2 linked regions of the Cricetulus griseus genome follow. The protein of the gene in region 2 purifies or fractionates together with the protein of the main gene of each other region. This does not show direct contact. Links are inferred from orthologs where the notes say so. Each region holds a gene or a part of one and is shown on either strand. Other genes may lie near its edges.

The links.
Region 1: the proteins of Asic1 (region 2) and Pick1 purify together in Homo sapiens (affinity purification with western blotting; 3 studies listed by BioGRID and IntAct, with this or other methods). This does not show direct contact. The link is inferred for Cricetulus griseus from reciprocal best matches to the Homo sapiens genes ASIC1 and PICK1.

The regions. Positions count from the first base shown.
Region 1 is NC_048595.1:376,342,378-376,351,368, reverse strand, and holds the start of Pick1 (PRKCA-binding protein), read right to left. Parts: upstream 4,576-8,991; 5' UTR 4,314-4,575; exon of another isoform or gene 4,164-4,313; intron 4,008-4,163; 5' UTR 3,945-4,007; coding exon 3,904-3,944; intron 2,983-3,903; coding exon 2,871-2,982; intron 1-2,870. UniProt on the Homo sapiens protein: Probable adapter protein that bind to and organize the subcellular localization of a variety of membrane proteins containing some PDZ recognition sequence.
Region 2 is NC_048595.1:396,128,224-396,136,957, reverse strand, and holds the start of Asic1 (acid-sensing ion channel 1), read right to left. Parts: upstream 4,539-8,734; coding exon 3,879-4,538; intron 2,082-3,878; coding exon 1,931-2,081; intron 1,361-1,930; coding exon 1,233-1,360; intron 626-1,232; coding exon 475-625; intron 146-474; coding exon 89-145; intron 1-88. UniProt on the Homo sapiens protein: Forms voltage-independent, pH-gated trimeric sodium channels that act as postsynaptic excitatory receptors in the nervous system, playing a crucial role in regulating synaptic plasticity, learning, and memory.

The sequences.
Region 1 (8,991 bases), about 20 Mb from region 2:
GGCACTTGCTCTGTAGACCAGGCTGGCCTCGAACTCAGAGATCCACCTGCCCGAGTGCTGGGATTAAAGGCCTGCAACTCAAGACTAAAGAGGTGGCTCAGCAGTTAAGGGCACTGGCCACTCTTCCAGAGGAGCTGGGTTGGAATCCCAGCACCCACATGGTGTTTCACTACTGTCTATAACTATAGTCCCAGGGGATCTGATGCCCTCTTCTGGCCTCCAGAGGCACCAGGCATGGATGTGGTATACAGATACACATGCAGGCAAAACACACACACACACACACACACACACACACACACACACACACACACACACACACACACATTAGTAAGTACACGCCTTTAATCACAGCACTCGGGAGGCAGAGGCAGGCGAGTTGAGTTTGAGGCCAGCCTGATGATATACAGAGTGAGTTCCAGGATAGCCTCCAAAGCTACACAGAGAAACCCTGCTTCAAAACAAACAAACAAAAAATAATAAATAGAGAAAGAAAGACACAAAGACACCAGTTCATCAGAAAGTTCAACCTAAGTGCTACAGAAGGGTGAGGCTTGTTTCTGTCCCTTTTCCATCCGCTTGGCCTTCAGAGCTAGACAGGGATTTAGAAAATGTTTCTCGAATGTTGCCTGTGGTGCTAATACTGAGTCAAAACAGTGACTGTGATGGGAAGATAGGGTAAGAGGGAGATATGTGGTTTTAGAAGAGAGTTGAACTCTTATCTCCTGAACCAAGAACAAGTGATCAATCAAGAAAACAAACAAAACCAGGAGGGCTGGAGAGGTGGCTCAGCAATTAAGAGTGCATCCTGATTTACAGAAGCCCCACGTTCAGTTCCCAGTCCCCACTTAGCTTCAGAGGGATTTGACACCTGGTCTGCATGGACTCAAGTGCACACACATACGCACACACACATAATTAAAAGTAATAACAAAACCAAGGAAAGCAGGGGAGTCATATCTGCGGCAGTAGCTGAAGGGCAGGGTGAGAGAGGGCACGAACTGCTGGCAGACACAGGCCTCCTGCACCTGACTTGCTATACGCAAACACAACAAACCCCATCATGTTATAATGCAGTTCATGCAAACAAGCATGCCCTTCGGGTCCTGAACCCACAGGGCTGAGGGGAGTGGCACAGATGCTGAGCAGGCATGTGACTAGGAGGAACCTGGGAAATGCCTCCCTCATGTCTCCTGGGGCAGAGGAGACCAAATCACCCTCATAGGTAGAGGCAGGAGCAGATGATCCTCCCAAAGACCCAATGTCCTATCTGCCCGAGGCCTACTCTGCTAGGTATCCCAATAGGGTAGAGTGTGGATCCTCCCAAGGCCACAGAAATGTCACAGATTGGCCAGGCACCTGGTGAAGGAGGCCTCGTGACAGGCCTGCCCCACCTGCACAGCAGTGGCTGGATCACAGGGTGGCTCCCCTAACACTAACATAGCAGCTGGGAAAGGCGCAGCTGCCAGGAACCATAGCAGCTGTGACTAGGTGCAGCTGCCTAAGTGCCTGGCCCTGTGCATTTATTTAACTTTCAAAATTTCGTATGTATGTGTGAATGAATGTCTGTGTACCATATGTATGCAGGGACTGGAGACAACAGAAGACAGCATCAGATCCCATGGAACTTGAGTTATAGGTGTCTGTGACCTCCTGATAGGAGTGCTGGGAACTAAACATGGGTTACATACTTTAAACCCTCACTTTTCAGATCAGAAAACTGAGACCTAGAGTGAATAAGAAACTCACTGGTATTCGGGGATATTCATGTGAATCTTGGGCTACCATTTTCTTTCCTTTATTTGCTGAGACAGGGTCTCAAGTAGCCTACATTGGCCTCAAACTCATTCATTGTGTAGCTGGGCATGACTTAGAATTGTTGATCCTCCCTGCCTCCACCTCTAAGTACAGGGGCCACAGGTATATGGGGCCATGCCCAGCAAGGACATTATTATTTCACAGCCTTCCTACTTCAGTTGGCAAACAGATTCATCGGAGACTGTTACTGAACGTCTATTACACACTAGTCACGGACCAGCACTAACTTCAGTTGAATACACATGATGTAAGGCCAAGAGTCTGCCAGATAGCTAGATCAGAACAAGCTGTAAGCAAACAGGTGAAAAACAATAGGGACAGTCCCACTTAGAGTGGTGGCCAGCCCTGCTAAGAACAGACCTCAAAAACAAGAAGGCCTGCTGAGATTCCTCGGCTAGTGCAGTGCTTACTATGCAAATCTGATTGTTTGTGGATTTCAAACTTGTGATCTCACAGTAGAAAATTGACTGATTGAGGGTTGTCCTTTAACCTCTGTATGTTCGCCATAACATAAGGGCACACACACTCACATACACACACACACATCAAACACACATAAAAAAGCAAATACCAATCATAAAATTTTAAAGAAACAAGATAGACTTTTGTGTCTCTGTGTATATGTTTCCACACACAAGTGTGTGTTGGTCAGTCACTCTTTGCTTTCATTCTTCAGGTATCAACCACTTGTTTTTTCTTTTCTTTCTTTCTTTCTTTCTTTTTTTTGGATTCAGTGTTTCTTTGTGGCCTGGAACTCACTTATTAGGCTAGACTGACTGGCTAGTGAAGCCCAGGGATCCACCTGTCTCCACCTCCCCAGCACTATGGTGACAGGAGCACACTACCACACACCGGTGTTTTACTCAGGTGCTTGGGATCAAACTCTGCTACTCAAGCTTGCATGGCAAACACTGTACTGACTGAGCCATCTTCCAGCCCCTGGAGCTAGCTTTTTCAAAGTGGAGAAACGCACCTCTTTCTGTCACACCCAAGAAGGGAGGTGACTCACTCTACCCAGGACTCTGCCCCCACCTCCAAAGTGTGCCTCATACCTGGACAATATAGAGACAGGGACAGTACTGGGCCCCTCCTCCAATGCTGATCCCAATCAGGTTCTGAGCATCCTTCTGCAGGGTGACCTTCCCAGGCACAGTGGGGATGCCTCTGCAAATAGAAGCAAGTGAAGGTGAATTCTGGAGAAAGGATGACTGAAAGGAGCAGGCTACACAGAGTAGCCTTTTCCTACGCAAGAACATTGGTACCAGAACATGCTCAGGAGTCATGACTACAGGATCGAAGCCCAGAGCTGCCATATCCGCTATGGGACTCAGGTCAGGAACTTTCTCTGCATCTGTTCTCTTCATCCATAAAGTGAAATGAGGCTCCCTGGTCAGAGACCTTACATGAAATGCGCATGGAAGGCTCTCCCCATCTTAGTCCAAGGAAACAAACTTAAAGATTCAGCCGGGCTATGTCCTTGTCCCCATCTCAGGCAATTGCAGGACATTATAGCCACCTTCCTTTTAGAATAAAGTTACTCAACTATCCTCCAGCCATCTTCCAATTATACTGTCAGTTACCACCCAGCATTGGCTATCAATGAGCTTAGGTGTGTCTTGTAATGAACAGGCTCAGGTGTCAGCTTGGTTACTGAAGACCGATTTGCTAACAACCAATGACTGCTCACCCCTTACTAAGGATTAAAAACACACAAGGCCATGAAATCTACTCCACACTCTGGGAGTACCTTCTAATTCTTGAAAGTCTACCTTATTGGTCATCTATGCTGGGGAGGAAGGTCAGGGATATCCCCATGCAGCCTTTGCAACCCTGGCTAGGTTGCCACCTTCCCAGACCACCCCAGCAGGACAGCTCCACCTGCTGTGTTGTGGATGGATCATGCCATAGGGCTTACACAGCCTGAATCGTCATTTATCTGTTAATCTGTCACACCCCTCAGAAGTGATGACTGGGCCCATTTCTGCTTCTGGACGCCGAGAAGTAAAAGTGTGTGGAGCTAGGACACCCAAGGACACGAGGGACCTGGGTCCTCAGCTCCCAGGTCTTGGGGAAGAAAATACTCACAATTTATCCTCCTCGATGTCATAGTCTAAGTCTGCAAACATGGTTCCAAGAGTTGGGGCCGACTGGCTAACTGCCCAGCTCGGGAGGGGAATGGGGAACTGGGTCTGGGAGAGAAAAAAACAGGGCTTCGGGGAACTGAAGTGCCCAGATGCCAGCCCCAAGCTCCCACCCCTCCCCCATCCAGGACAGCGGGCCTCTGGTCCTCCCCTCCGAACTGGGGTAGGGAGCCTAAGGCTGGAAGGCGGGCAGGTGATTCTTACTTGGTACAGGGGACGACCCCAGGCCAGGGCGATGGGCTCGGATTCCAGAATCCGCCCTGCGGTCTCCAGACCCTTGGGAGCCTCTTCGGTCGCTCACCGAGAGAGTCGGTCCCACAGCCAGGCCTGGGCCAGGCTGGCACCTGAACCCACCTGCCGTTCCACCTGGCGGCGATCGCGACTGTCTCGTCACTTCCGGCAGGACGCGGAAGTCCCGCCTCTCCCCTTGGGTATTTGCCCCAATCCCTGCAGGCAATCCTTTTCTCTCCGCTCCGAGACTCTCTGAACCAGGAAAAAGAACAAGTGTTGGTGGAAGTTCGCTGTTCGTGTGAAAAGAAGGGAAAGGAAGGAAAGGTCTAGACATTCTAGCGGTCCCGGACTCCTCCCTTGGCTGTGTCGCCATCTTGGGGAGGGCAGGGCTCTTCCCGGCTTCCTTAGCGGCACTCTGGGGACCACGCAGGTCCGGCGGTTGCCGGGGCAACGGAAGCATCTTGGGGCCGACGAAGTTCAGTGAACTGCAGACCTCACAGCCTTCGCTCTCACATTTGCAGTACCGATTCCTAAGGAAAGCCAGTGTTTCCTCTACCACAAAGCGCCAGGGCTGGAAGTCCCCTCAAGATCTCAGTCTCACAGAGAAATTAAGTTCCTGAGAGAGGGAGTAACTTTGTTCAGAGATGCTTACAGTTGGTGTTAAGATCCAGATCTTGGTCCTGAAACCCCTACCGCCAGTCTGGGGCCCTTTGAACATCTGTGGTAAACTTGGAGCCACGAGAGGTATATTCTGTGGGCTTTTAAAGGACAGATTCGGTTTGGCTTTCCTGCACGTACCTCAGTTTCCCCACATACATCCTATTAGCATTCAGTCAATATTTCTGAGGTATTTTGGCAAAAGCTCCATCATACCAAACCCCCTCCTTAGTCCCTTGAGCCCTGGAGTCCTTTTGAAGATACAGCCCCCATGTCCCTCAGGCTCAACAAACACCATCAATGCCTCCCAGCTGGGGAGGCCAATGTTCTCCAGGCACCGACCCCTGCTGCCAACGATTATGTCAAATAAAATGGCTGGAAGAGTATGACCCTGCTAGGACCACAGTGCTGGAAACCACCTCATCCAGGCAGAGTGGCACCAGTGCCCTTACACAGCGATTAGAGGGTACATTAGGAGGCATGTCCTTGTGCTCCCAGATAACCACTAGGGGAACCAGGGGTGCTAAACACACAGGGTTGTCACTTGAAGGGAGAGATGAAGAACCTGTTTGCCCAGAAGGCAGGCAATGCACATGGTTAACTGCCTAGTGATCTTTGCATTGTCTGCAGGCTGAGACCACACTTGATACTTCCCCAGATCCTTATCTTGAGCTTGTTTCCTCAGTTCATCGATGCATCCCATCTTTATGGAAGATATCACTTGTCCTTTACAGTGTAGTCATGTCTCAAGGTCTGATGTGCACATTACTGAATAATTATCACCAGGATACTTTTTTACTGAAATGTGCTGATTATATATGCCCAAAATAAACTCCCCAAGGGGAAGACTCCAAAGGCTGCACCAGCACTGGCCACTGAGTCATATGAGCCAAACTGCCATCTTGCCTCTCCCAGATTGACACCTTGCTGACCTCAGTGTTCACAGAGACCCCACAGTGGTATGGGATGACTATCCACATGTCCTCTGGAAGCCCTCCCATCACCTGCAGGGAGCTGAACTATCTCAGCAGGTGTGTTGAATGCCACCATGGCAACCACCTTCCCCTGTGCCCACTGCTCTGTGGCTCAGATCACTGTCAGAGAATCCTAGTACATCTCCACCTCCTGACAGGGGAACAAGTCCTGGCAGCTACCCTGTGCAATGGAGAATGGACTCTGAGACACCTTCCCTTTATTGTATGTGGTCAGTGGCAGGAGTGGCTTTGCCAAGCTCTGTTTTCAGGATGGTGGTTTTGGTTTTGAGATAAGATCTCATGTAGCCCAAGTTCACTACCTGAGAATGGCCTTAAAGTTCTATCCTCCTGCCTTCATGTCCTTGGTGCTGCTTGCCCAATTGATGTGGATCTGGGGATCCAACCCAGGGCTTCCTCAGCTTCTTTCCCCCACACAACCCTAGTTCATACCCAGGCTCTGCAATTTTATAGCAAGGAATTTGGGGCAAGTCACCAGCACAATCTGGCTGGGAGTAAATGCTTGTAGAAATTGACATGGTTCTCTATGGGGGACCAGGAAGGACGATTGGGGTGGCCTCAGGAGGTCCAGAGGACTGGACAAGTTCAAGGAGAAGTGACCAGGACAGCAGGAGTGGCCCCAGTTTCCTCCATTATGCTGGAGTCACAGGCCAGTTAGGTACTGAACTGGGCTCAGTGGAGCAGCACCCTCCAGCCCAGAATTTGCATCAAATTCACCTTTCCAGCCCCTAGATGAACAGCATAAGTCCAAGCCCCACCATTTCACTGGGAACCTTAGGCAATTGCCATTTTTCTACAGTCCTTGGGTGCCTGCAGAGCAACCATCCTCCCAAGGCAACCAATAAAGGATGGAATTTAAATGTGGTTTGTGAGTGAGCTCTGTCACACAGGTGGCAGAGGTCTCATTGTTGCCTCACAGGAAAACCATGTAGTCCAACCATCTCAAAGGGCAGGGCTGACCATGTCTCCAAAGGGCCTTACAGTACTTATGCTTCTGTGTGTGGCACACCTGGGAAGTGTCCTGAACTCGGATCCCTGGGCTCTTCTCAGACCTATAGAGAGAATCTGGAGAAGGGTCCTGCAGGCTGCATTTGCACAGTTCTGTGGGTGTTGTCCAAAGATGTCAGAGGTCCAGAATGTAGTATCTAGATACCAGAAAGGGCTGTTCAGTGTACCAATACTCCTGAACAAGGGCTTCCCTATCCCTGGAGAGCAGGATACTGTGTGGGCCCAGAGGAGTGCTCTAACCAAGGCAGGCTTCCTGGAGGAAGAGGCTCTCCATCCTACAGGAAGTGCTCTGTGCCAGCAGAGGAAGAGAGGAAGGTAAAGGCTTCTAGAGGCAGGCTGTGAGGATACAGTGTCTGACCTCAGAGAATCTGTGTGCCAGGTGAGATAGACAGCTGGGAATGGTGACTGGAGAACAAGGCTACCACGCATGTCTCATGGGATCACCGGCAAGCTTCACATGTGGAGTATTCAGCAGAGACCTCATAGAGACTTCTAGGCCTTTCATCAAGAGGAGCAGGGCTCCTGGGGTTTAAAACAGAATGAAGATAACCACTCATTTCAGGTTCCTTGTCAAGCTCCGACTCTGCCTTTCAATTCATTCCTGCTTGCACAAGCCCCCTGTTCTCCATTCTCTCCAAGCAGACCCTGACCTCTCTTTTATCTTAGTCATGCCACTTAAAGCTTGCAACCATGTCCAAGTTGCAGCCTCTGGGTCCACCAAGATTGCACCTCTGTGGTTCCCTGCATCAGATTCATTCCCCAGAGCCACCTACTGCCACGCATCCTTTTCCTGGGGTAGTGCTCCCCCTGGTGGCTAATTTCAGTGCTGCCTAAGAGTGCCAAAATAGCCATCACCCGGGTCAGAGCCTGCTGACTCAGGACTGACTGCAGAGCCTGAGAGTCTACGGTGTGTGGACAATGGGTAAGGCTGGTCATTTGAATGCCAGGCTGTGCCTGACTCTCCACTCCTCAGCTGCTGTGACTCAGCACACGCATACGATCCTCACTCTTTGACTTGTCCATGGCATTGAAGGTCACTGTGAGGGTCAAGAAGTCAGGGATGGGTCTGACCCATTCACTCATTCCTAAGTTCATTTTATTTTATTTTATTTTTTATTTTTTGGTTTTTTGAGACAGGGTTTCTCTGTGGCTTTTGGGGGTTGCCCTGGTCTTGTAGACCAGGCTGGTCTCGAACTCACAGAGATCCGCCTGCCTCTGCCTCCCGAGTGCTGGGATTAAAGGCCTGCGCCACCAACGCCCGGCTCCTAAGTTCATTTTATAAATATTTATTGAGCACTTGCCAAGTCCAGCCAAGAGGACATACAGTGAAGGGGGCAAGTGGAGCCTGCTGTTAACAAGCTCTTAGGACCAAGTGGGAATGGTGGGCAAAATGGGAGGGAATTGGCTAATTCCAAGATGAATGTGGTGGAATAGATGACTGGCTCAATTCATTCTGTCTCTGGAGAGAATTAGTGAGGAGGTAGCTGGCAGAGACCCCAGCAGAGAATCCCTGTGGCAAGTGTATACCAATACCTTTTGGAGGGTGACAGGAGATAAATGCAAGATGCCAGCAGAGTCACTGTGTGTTGTATGTATATATTTGCTTACTGACCAGCTCTCATATTGTAAGCTCCCAGAGCCTAGAGCCTAGCCTAATCACATCACCCTCTATCCCCAACTCCTAACAAGGTGGCAATCACATGGCCAGCATTCGACACAGGTCTGTTTGGATAAATGAGTGACTGTGCTGATCCCACCACTTTGGCAACCCTTTCTTCTCAGCCATTGCCTTCAGTCAGCTGACTAGGTCAGCAGTGGGATATATGCCTCAGAGGGGACCCAAGTCCCTCCAGCCACTGGCCCAGATCAGCATGCAAAGGCTGACCTCTGACTTGCCCCTGCCCCCTGCACCCCTAGAACTCTGCTCTGTGGGTTAGGTCAGTGATGAAAGCCATGGCAGCCTGGGGGCAGGGAGTAGAGAGACAGTGTCTGATTGTTCTCCAACTCCACTGGCCACTGAGGACTAGGTTTCAGACAGCCCCTCTCTCTGTGTCTTCTCTCCCTCTCCCTTCCCTCTTCTTCCCCTTCCTCTTCCAAATTCCAGTGGGAAGTTATTACCCATGCAGATGCTAGGGACCCCTGGT
Region 2 (8,734 bases):
AGGAGTTCAACCTTGATCTCACTCCCCTGTGCATGAGGCAGACAGTACTTTCTTCCCTCCCTCTAAGTGTCCCAGGTCAGGTGCTCACCCAGGGCAGGATCTGCACACTCCTTGTACTGCTCTGGAGTGCAGTATGGAGCATCCCCTACAAAGGAGAGAAGATGGTGGGACAGGGAGAGATTTAAGGGGTCTTGTGATGGCATGGTACTGTGTAAGGAGGAAGCTGGAAGATGGGACAGTAGGAGTAGTCACCCCTTGTGCGCCGGAAGTGACCTACTCTGACAGTCTACCCCTTCTGGACCCTTCCATCCCTTCCCGTAGACATAGGCAGGGACTGAGAGACAGGAACCAGAAAGATAAGAAAACAGAGTGATCTGGGACCAGGATTAGGGAGGCCAATATGGCTGGGGCACAGGTGAGGGGCAGTGCAGCCTGAGATAGCCCAGGGCTCTGCTTGGAATCTTGGGGCCTGACCTGGCATGTGTACCATACGGCAGTTGCAGTTTTCCACCAGGTAACGTGTCTCACAATCAATGCGGCAGGCGGTGATACTGTAGGAGTCGAAGAAATCCGAGTCCATGGTAACAGCATTGCAGGTGCCCCAGGGTGAGGGCAGGTAGATGAGCTGCTGGGAGAGCCGGGGAGCTGGGGAAGTGTGCGGACTTCTCCCCCAACTCACCGAGTGGACTTCTCTGGCAAGATACAGAACTCAGGAGTCGTATCCCTGCACCTCTAAAGGTCTTAGGGTTTATAAAGTATTTCTTCCATTTTTGTCCTCTCTCTCTCTTTCTGTCTCTCTCCCTGTGTGTGTGTGTGTGTGTGTGTGTGTGTGTGTGTGTGTATGGTGTGTGTGTGTGTGTGTGTGTGTGTGTGTGTGTGTGTGTGTGTTGTATGCACGTGAATATGACTGTGCCCCATGCATAGCTCAGAAATAGAAGTAGATATTGGATATTTCTCTCTGCTTATTGTTTTCAAGGCAGGATCTCTTACTGAACCTGTGGATTTTTGGCCAGTTAGCCCCAAGGATCCACCTGTCTCTGCACACCCCCAGCCCAGAACTGGGGTTACAGGTGTGTACCACCCTGATTTTTACCCACATGTTAGGGATCTCAGTTGAGGTCCTCATGTTTGTATAATAAACACTACCTGCTGAGCCATCTTCCCAGTTCCCCAGAACCCCATCTTGACTCCTCAACACACAACCCCAGAAGTAGCTTTCTGCAGCCCCTCACCCTCTGCTCCTGGCAAGACACAAAGGTCTGGAAGCCTGGGGCCACACCAAAGCCCAGCTGGTCGATGAAAGGAGGTTCATCCTGGCTGTGGATCTGCACTTTGATACCTGCTTCGAAGGATGTCTCGTCTGTAAAGATGAAGACACGTGAGTTAGGATGGTTTCCAAGTCCCTGGTCATCTTCAGAGCCTGGGGCATCATAACTCCCCTGACAATAAGCAGTCTCCACTGGGACTTGGTGAGGAGGCTATGGGGTACTAGCACACTTCTAGCCTCCTGTGTTAGCAGTTCCATAGTACCCCAGTGACCTCTGCATCCTACACACGTCTTTTCTTACCTGGTCTGTGATGTTTCTTGGTGTTTCAGATTATTTCTCCTGGAGGGCCACTGTCTCAGCCACTCTCCATTTCTCCTCACCCCTTTCTCCTCTCTCCCCATCTCTCTGCCCCTATGTCCCCTGAGACCAGACAGGCAGGCAGCCCAAGAAGAGAGGGAGATATTTATAGAGTGAGTGGCGGCCACTGATGGAAGAGGATGGCTGGTTACCTTGGAGAGTAACTGAACCGGGAAGGGGGAGCCAGGGAACCAAGCGTGTGGAAGTCACACAGGAACAAAGACAGATGCTGAGTGATCTTGGGAGAAAGGACAAGGGTCTGAGTCTGGGGTTCAGGGAGGGGGCTCCTGAACAGGGTAACATACCGGTCTCTCCCCACACAGGCAGGTATTCATCTTGCTGGATGTCCAGCATGATCTCCAGGCCATTGCCAGTCCCACCTTTCATTGTCTTCAGCCGTGGCCGCCCATCTTGGCCCGAGTTGAATGTGTAACACTTCCCATACCGTGTGAAGACCTGGTGGAAGGCAGTAGAGAGCTTGAGAGTCCTGATAGGCTTCTGGTTGGGAACCACAAGGAATCAGATGCAGAGAGAGAGAGAGAGAGAGAGAGAGAGAGAGAGAGAGAGAGAGAGAGAGAGAGAGTACTGATCCCCTCTCCTTGCCTCTCTCTTGCCACCCTGGCAGTGGCTTAGACCCTCCATGATCCTAGCTCTTGCCAGGACTCCCTTTGTGCACCTTCAGCCTAGAAGTGATAACAATTTGGTCCCATTGCTCCCTTAATCTTACACACAGCTCTGCAGACAGCCCCCCTTTTTAAAGTCTTTTCAACTGAACTATCAAGTGACAATCTTTTTCTTGCTAGGATCCTACATATACATCTCCATCACCATGATCCTATAACCACTGAGGCTTTCTGAAATAGATCTTCAGATCTTTGTTTTGGGATTTCAACCCCTGAGCTAGAAATCCTCCCCCAAGACCTTCCTCCATACCTAAGCCACTCAAAACCCTTTAGTTTCTTTCCACTATCAGCCTCTCATGGCCACCTTTGTTCCATTATTACTAGGATCCGACAGCAGACCCAGTTGCCATGCCAAGAACCAAACTTACTCAGGCATATCACCTCCTCCCCCAAGACTCAGGACTGAGCACCAAGGCACAGCACATTGGAGTGTTCAGTAACAAAGCATGGCATGTTAGGGTGCTCTTGAGCTCTGAGGGCCTCAAAGCAGATACCTTCCTTGTTAGTGATCCTGTATTTTCTGCCCTCCCTGAGGCCCAGTGGCCAAAACCACCAGGTCACAATCATTTCAGGGACTGAGATGACACCCATTTGCTCCTACATGGTAGGACATAGAAGGGTGGGTATGGAGAAAGGCCAGGCATCTGAAATCTGCAGGGACCAGAGGGGCATCAGGCCAGATAGGAGACCAATGGAGAAAGTGACATTTTCAATGATGGCTTCCTTCAGGAAGAAAGTCCTGGCCACTTAATCAGAGCTGGGAGCATGGGCTTTGGTTTAGAGGGTTCCCAGATTCATAGACAGATAGATGGACCACACACACACACACACACTCTCTCTCTCTCTCTCTCTTTCTCTCTCTCACACACTCACAATACTCTCACACACTCACATATTCTGTCTCTGTCTCTCTCTCCCCCCCCCCTCTCTCTCTCTCTCTCTCTCACACACACACACACACACAGAGAGAGAGAAGAGAGAGAGAGAGAGAGAGAGAGAGAGAGAGAGAGAGAGAGAGCTGGTAGAGGATCAACTCCAATGGGGAAGAGCACAGAAGACAAAGTAAGGATGCAATTAAATCCCTGCTGTGAGATTGGCTGACATGGTGTTGAGGTGAAGGTAGGGGCTATCCCCTCCATCTATGACCCCCTTCTGCACCTCTAGAGACTAGGTGACCCCCCACTATCACTCCAGGGATGATAGTCAACAACTGGTCAGAACATAGCTCCCACCCCACCCCAGATTATAGGCTGATTTCGTAGCTAGAGCAAAGTTGCAGGACTGTGCTACAGCATGAAGAGGTCTGGGGAAGAGCAGATGAGACTAGAGGATAGTCCAGGCATCAGAACAGCAGCCAATTACAATGGGGACATATTTCAAGACACAACTAGGAAGAGCTGTGAACCTAGGGCTCTTAGTCCAGCTCCAGACTCTGAGATTCCAGGTGAGCTCTGGCCCAGGTCAGGCAGGTTTCAGCAGTTTTCAGCCCCTGTCCCAGGAGCAGATGGCCAGAGAGAGAGACCATGCCATATACTCTTGGGGTACTGTGCTAAGCATGGGCCCCACTCACCACTGAGAAGTTGTGGGGACCACAGGGGCCCCCACAGTAGGAACAATAGAGCAGCATGTCCTCCAGCCGGTGGCAGGAGCGATTGTAGAAACGATGGAGATTAAAAGGCTCCCCGGAGAAGGCCTCTGGCCCCGGTGGAGCAAGGGGCACCCCAGGATCATCACTTTCATCCAGCCCTAGCATGGGGGCCAGGTAGAGCAGATCAGGGTAGCTGAGCTGGGACAACCGCACGGCATTGGTGTTACAGAATGTGACCGCCGGGAAGACCAGCTCTGTGGTGGCGACTTCATCTAGCAAAGTCACATGTGGATAGCTGAGGTAATAAGCAACTCGGTCCCCTACCTGGCACAGGAAGGCACCCAGTGCTATGACAAAAGCCACTGCCCACAGGGCCTGCCTTGGCCCTGGGCCCCCTTCCACAAAGACATGGCTGGCACCATGGAGGGTACAACTGTTGGCGAAGGCCACCAAGTCCCTAGGTGAGTCTCCGTCATCAAGCTCCCTCTTCAGTGCCTCTTTTTCCTTCTCTTCCTCTTCCTCTTCTGATTCTGAGCTGTCCTGCTGCTGCCGGTGGTGATGAGGACCCCAGATATCTCCCATGGATCCTGGGGCCTCTTCTCCAGAGGAGAATGACACAGAGCAAAAGATCTGGATGGGCATCTTCTCCAGGGGCAGGAGGATGGTGCCGGAGGGAAGGAGATGGGGCTTCTGGTGTGATCCAGCAGGGCCAGCTAAGGAGCCCTTTGGCTAAGTCTCCACTGGCCCAGCTGTTTGTTCTCCCTCACCAGCGCCTCTGTGGCAGTGTGGCTGAGCCAGGGCAGGCACAGGGAGGAGGACCAGACTGTCCTGCTAGAGAGGGCGGTGTCTGTGCTGATGAATAATTGATGGCAGTGGGAAAGGGAGGCCTGCTGGGGAGGAGGGGAGCTGAAGACCTTTGCCTGACACTGGCTCCAGCCAGCAGAATGAAGGCTTTTAGCAAAGTGAAATCCCTGGGAAAGACTCCTCAGGTGAGGTGACAACCAATGCGGTCCCTTCCTCAGAATGACCTCAGTTGCCTCCCTCCTGCAGGTCATCCATGCTTACTCTTTCCTCCAACTGCTTCTGGGCATGTCCATCGGTCTCAGCATCCCAGTTCTGCCCTCTGCCTTATTCTCACTCGATCTGGATCTTCTTCTGGGATACCCAAGCCTCAGGTCCTCCATAGACACTAGCCAGGCTCTCTAATTCCTCTCCACCCATCACTCCTATTGTTTCAGCCTACCCTCAGGCCTCTGGTCCCTCTAATCATTCCTTTGATACTTACTTAACTTCCAGTCACCTCCAGTTTATGTTCCTCCCCAGCCTCGCATCCCTGCAGTCACTCCCTTGACCCACAAGTCCCCTCCAGCTAGTCCCTAACTCCCCTTCTCCTCTGACCTACAGCTCTATTTTAGGCCCACATCCTTCCCCCAGGCTCACCACATATAGTCCTCATTCCCTCCCCCACCCTTTTTTGTGGCTTGTGGGGTGGCCCAGGTTCCATTAGCAGCAATTTCTCACTGACCACAGACTCAATTCTGACCAGTTCCCAGCACTGGGGGAGGGACTCTTGAAGCTGAAAAGCTTGCTGACAGAAACTTCTAACCCTTCCACAGCTTGCCTTGCTCTCCACCAACCACACACACACACACACACACACACACACACACACACACACACACACACACACACACACAAACACCCCCCCCCCAAAAAAACCAATTTAGAAGGGGGGTGTGAGAAGTTCTCGCCAGTGGGTGGAAGAAATTGTGGCCAGTATGGAGACAGAAGGTCCTGGGGCAGGAGAAATGTTGGGAATCAGCCTGAGAGCTCCCCCCAAACCCTAGCATTAGACCCATCAGTCCTGAGACTCCCTCGGGTCTCAATGTCCCATTCCCTACCCTTGGAATCCTGACCTCTCTGTGCCCTGATTGCCTAGGGCCACTGGTTGAGGAACTTGAGCCACCAGCTAAGTCTCTAGGGCCAAGAAGGTGACCTAGGAGAGGGAAGGGAGGGAGGGAAACAGGCAAAGCAGATTAACTCTTTCTCAGCAGTTCCAGGAGTAGGTTTGAGGCTGAACAAGTCTACCTGGGCCTTCCCATTCCTTAGGGAATTTAAGGCCTAGCCCTACTCCCCAACCCCCATCCCACTTGTAGGAGACCCGGGATGTGTTGGGATGAGAGGCAGGGTGCTGGGTTCTAGAAGAGCTGGCTGCTGGGCTGCTCATGGCCTCAGCTTTACTGCTAGGACACAAAACCCCAGAAGAAAAAGCCTTGAGGTCCAGCCCCTCTTCAACCTTCCACTGCCATTAGACATTCCTCAGTTCTTTTGTTTTTTCCCTCTGAATGATAGACAGCCTCCCTTGTCCCTGTCTTCAGTTCATGTCATGTGATCATGCCCAAAACTCCTCATTGCTTCTAGTAAAGCTCACCCCTAAGATGGACCTATACAACAGAAATCCCTTCATTTCTGACACAGACCCCCAATCCAGCATCCAGCTACCTGAAGCCTCCCAGACATACTAGGCTCACCCACGGCCCCAGGACTTTCGGTTGGCTCCTACTCATTTTTGCTCATCTTTTTATTTTGCCTTCTGTGTGAGTATGTGTCTGGTGATCAGAAGACAACTTTCCCAAATGGTTTTCTTTTTCCATGCTCAGAATCAGACTCAAGCCACCAGGCTCTGTGCTTTTACCTGCTGAGTCACCTTTGCTGGCCCTGATGATATCATCATCACTATTATTATATTACTATTATTATTGTTTTGTTGTTTTTTTTCAACATGGTCTCACCATGTGGACCAGGTTGGCCTTGAGCTCACAGAGATCCAACTGTCTCTGCCTCCCAAATGCTGGTATTAAACGTGTACCACCATGTCTGATCTCTCTGATCTATTTATTTATTATTTATTTAATGTCTATGGGTATTTTGCCTGCCTGTGTGACTATGCACCACAGTGTGTGCAACATTAAGAAGGTCAGGAGAGGGTGTTGGATCCCCTGGAACTGGACACAGACCACCGGAAGCTGGTGGAGAGCCACTGTGTGGGTGCTGGGGATGGACTAAGCATCCTCTAGAAGAGCAGCTGTGCTCTTCACTGCTGAGCCAGCTCTCCAGCTCCAGCCCTCTGAACTTCCTAAAGACAGGCTCTCCCTGTGTTGCTGTCCTTGAACTCCTGGGCTCTTCATCTTTCTGTCTCACCTCCCAAGCAGCTGGGTTTATGGCCGAAGCCACTATACCCAGCTCCCCACTTCTTTTTCAATACCCTATTGTTACATTCCTACAACAGGAAGTCTTCCTTGCCCAGGGTTCAGATAGAAGGGTCTAGTCTCTGCTCAAGGCATTGCAGATGTGAGGCAATCCACAGATCCTTCAGCATGGAGCCAGTAGGAGGGAATGGATCAAGGTAGTGGGAATGGATCAAGGTAGAGGCTACATCAGGAAAAAGAAGTGAGAAAAGACTAAACACATAAAAGTGGACTGGCGCCGGGCATTGGTGGTGCACACCTTTAATCCCAGCACTCGGGAGGCAGAGGCAGGTGGATCTCTGTGAGTTCGAGACCAACCTGGTCTACAGAGTGAGTTCCAGGACAGGCTCCAAAGCTACACAGAGAAACTCTGTCTCAAAAAACCAAAAAGTGGACTGGTAAGATGGCTGCCAGAAAAGAGCTTGCTGACATGCCTGAGCACCGAAATTTGATCCCTAGAACTCGTAGTTGGAAGAAAACTGACTTCCACAAGTTGTCCTCTGACCTTTATATGCACACACACACACAAACTAGATAGATAGATAGATAGATAGATAGATAGATAGATAGATAGATAGATAGACAGATGTGATACCCAACAAAACCCCACAAAAGTGACTGGGTATGACCTGGTGGTGGTGGCACACGCCTTTAAATCCAGTACTCGGGAGGCAGAGGCAGGCAGATCTTTTTGAGTTGGCCTGGTCTACAAAGCTACACAGAGAAACCCTGTCTCAGAAAACCAAAAAAAGAAAAAGAGACTGGATATGAAGAGAGATCAGCTATCTTCAACTGTTGTCCTCTTTCATACACATCCATGGATTCCCTTTCTGTCTGGTGCCCCATGAACATCTTTTTCCCACCTGCCAGGCCTTATTTCTCAGGGGGGACAGAGCCTGCTTTGTTGCCCTTCCTCAGGGGAGTTTTGGAGGTAAGTTCCAACCTTGACTTGTGGGGTGCTGGCGGACGTTGACCATTGAATGCCGGGATGTCTTTTGCCCACTAGAGGGCACTGTCTCCCTCCTTCATACATCCTGGAGGTGACTGACTATACCTTGGCTTCACAAAAAGAGGAAACTAAGGCAGGGAGCTTCAGGCTGAGAGTCCCCACCAGAGAGGAAGCTGTGATGAGCACAGCAGCTTCAGAAGACAGTGAGCTGAAACAATTCCTCCCCACACCTGCACCATGCACTCCTACACAGCAACACACAGGCACAGTCACACACTCAATGTGTAGGCATACACACACACACACACACACACACACACACACACACACACGTGTGCTGGCTCATCCACACGAATGTGTAGGCACTCACAGACATATGAACATGCCTGCTAACGTCCCTATTACTTTCTCTCCCCATTACCTCTGTCCTCGTTCCTTTAAGTTCTCTCTTGCTTTCATTTTATTCAAGTAGGCAAATTCAAAAGTTTTCAGTCATGGGAAGGTAAGAAGAGGGCCAGGATGCCGGGCGTTGGTGGTGCACACCTTTTTTTTTTTTTTTTTTTGAGACAGGGTTTCTCTGTGGCTTTGGAGGCTGTCCTGGAACTAGCTCTTGTAGACCAGGCTGGTCTCGAACTCACAGA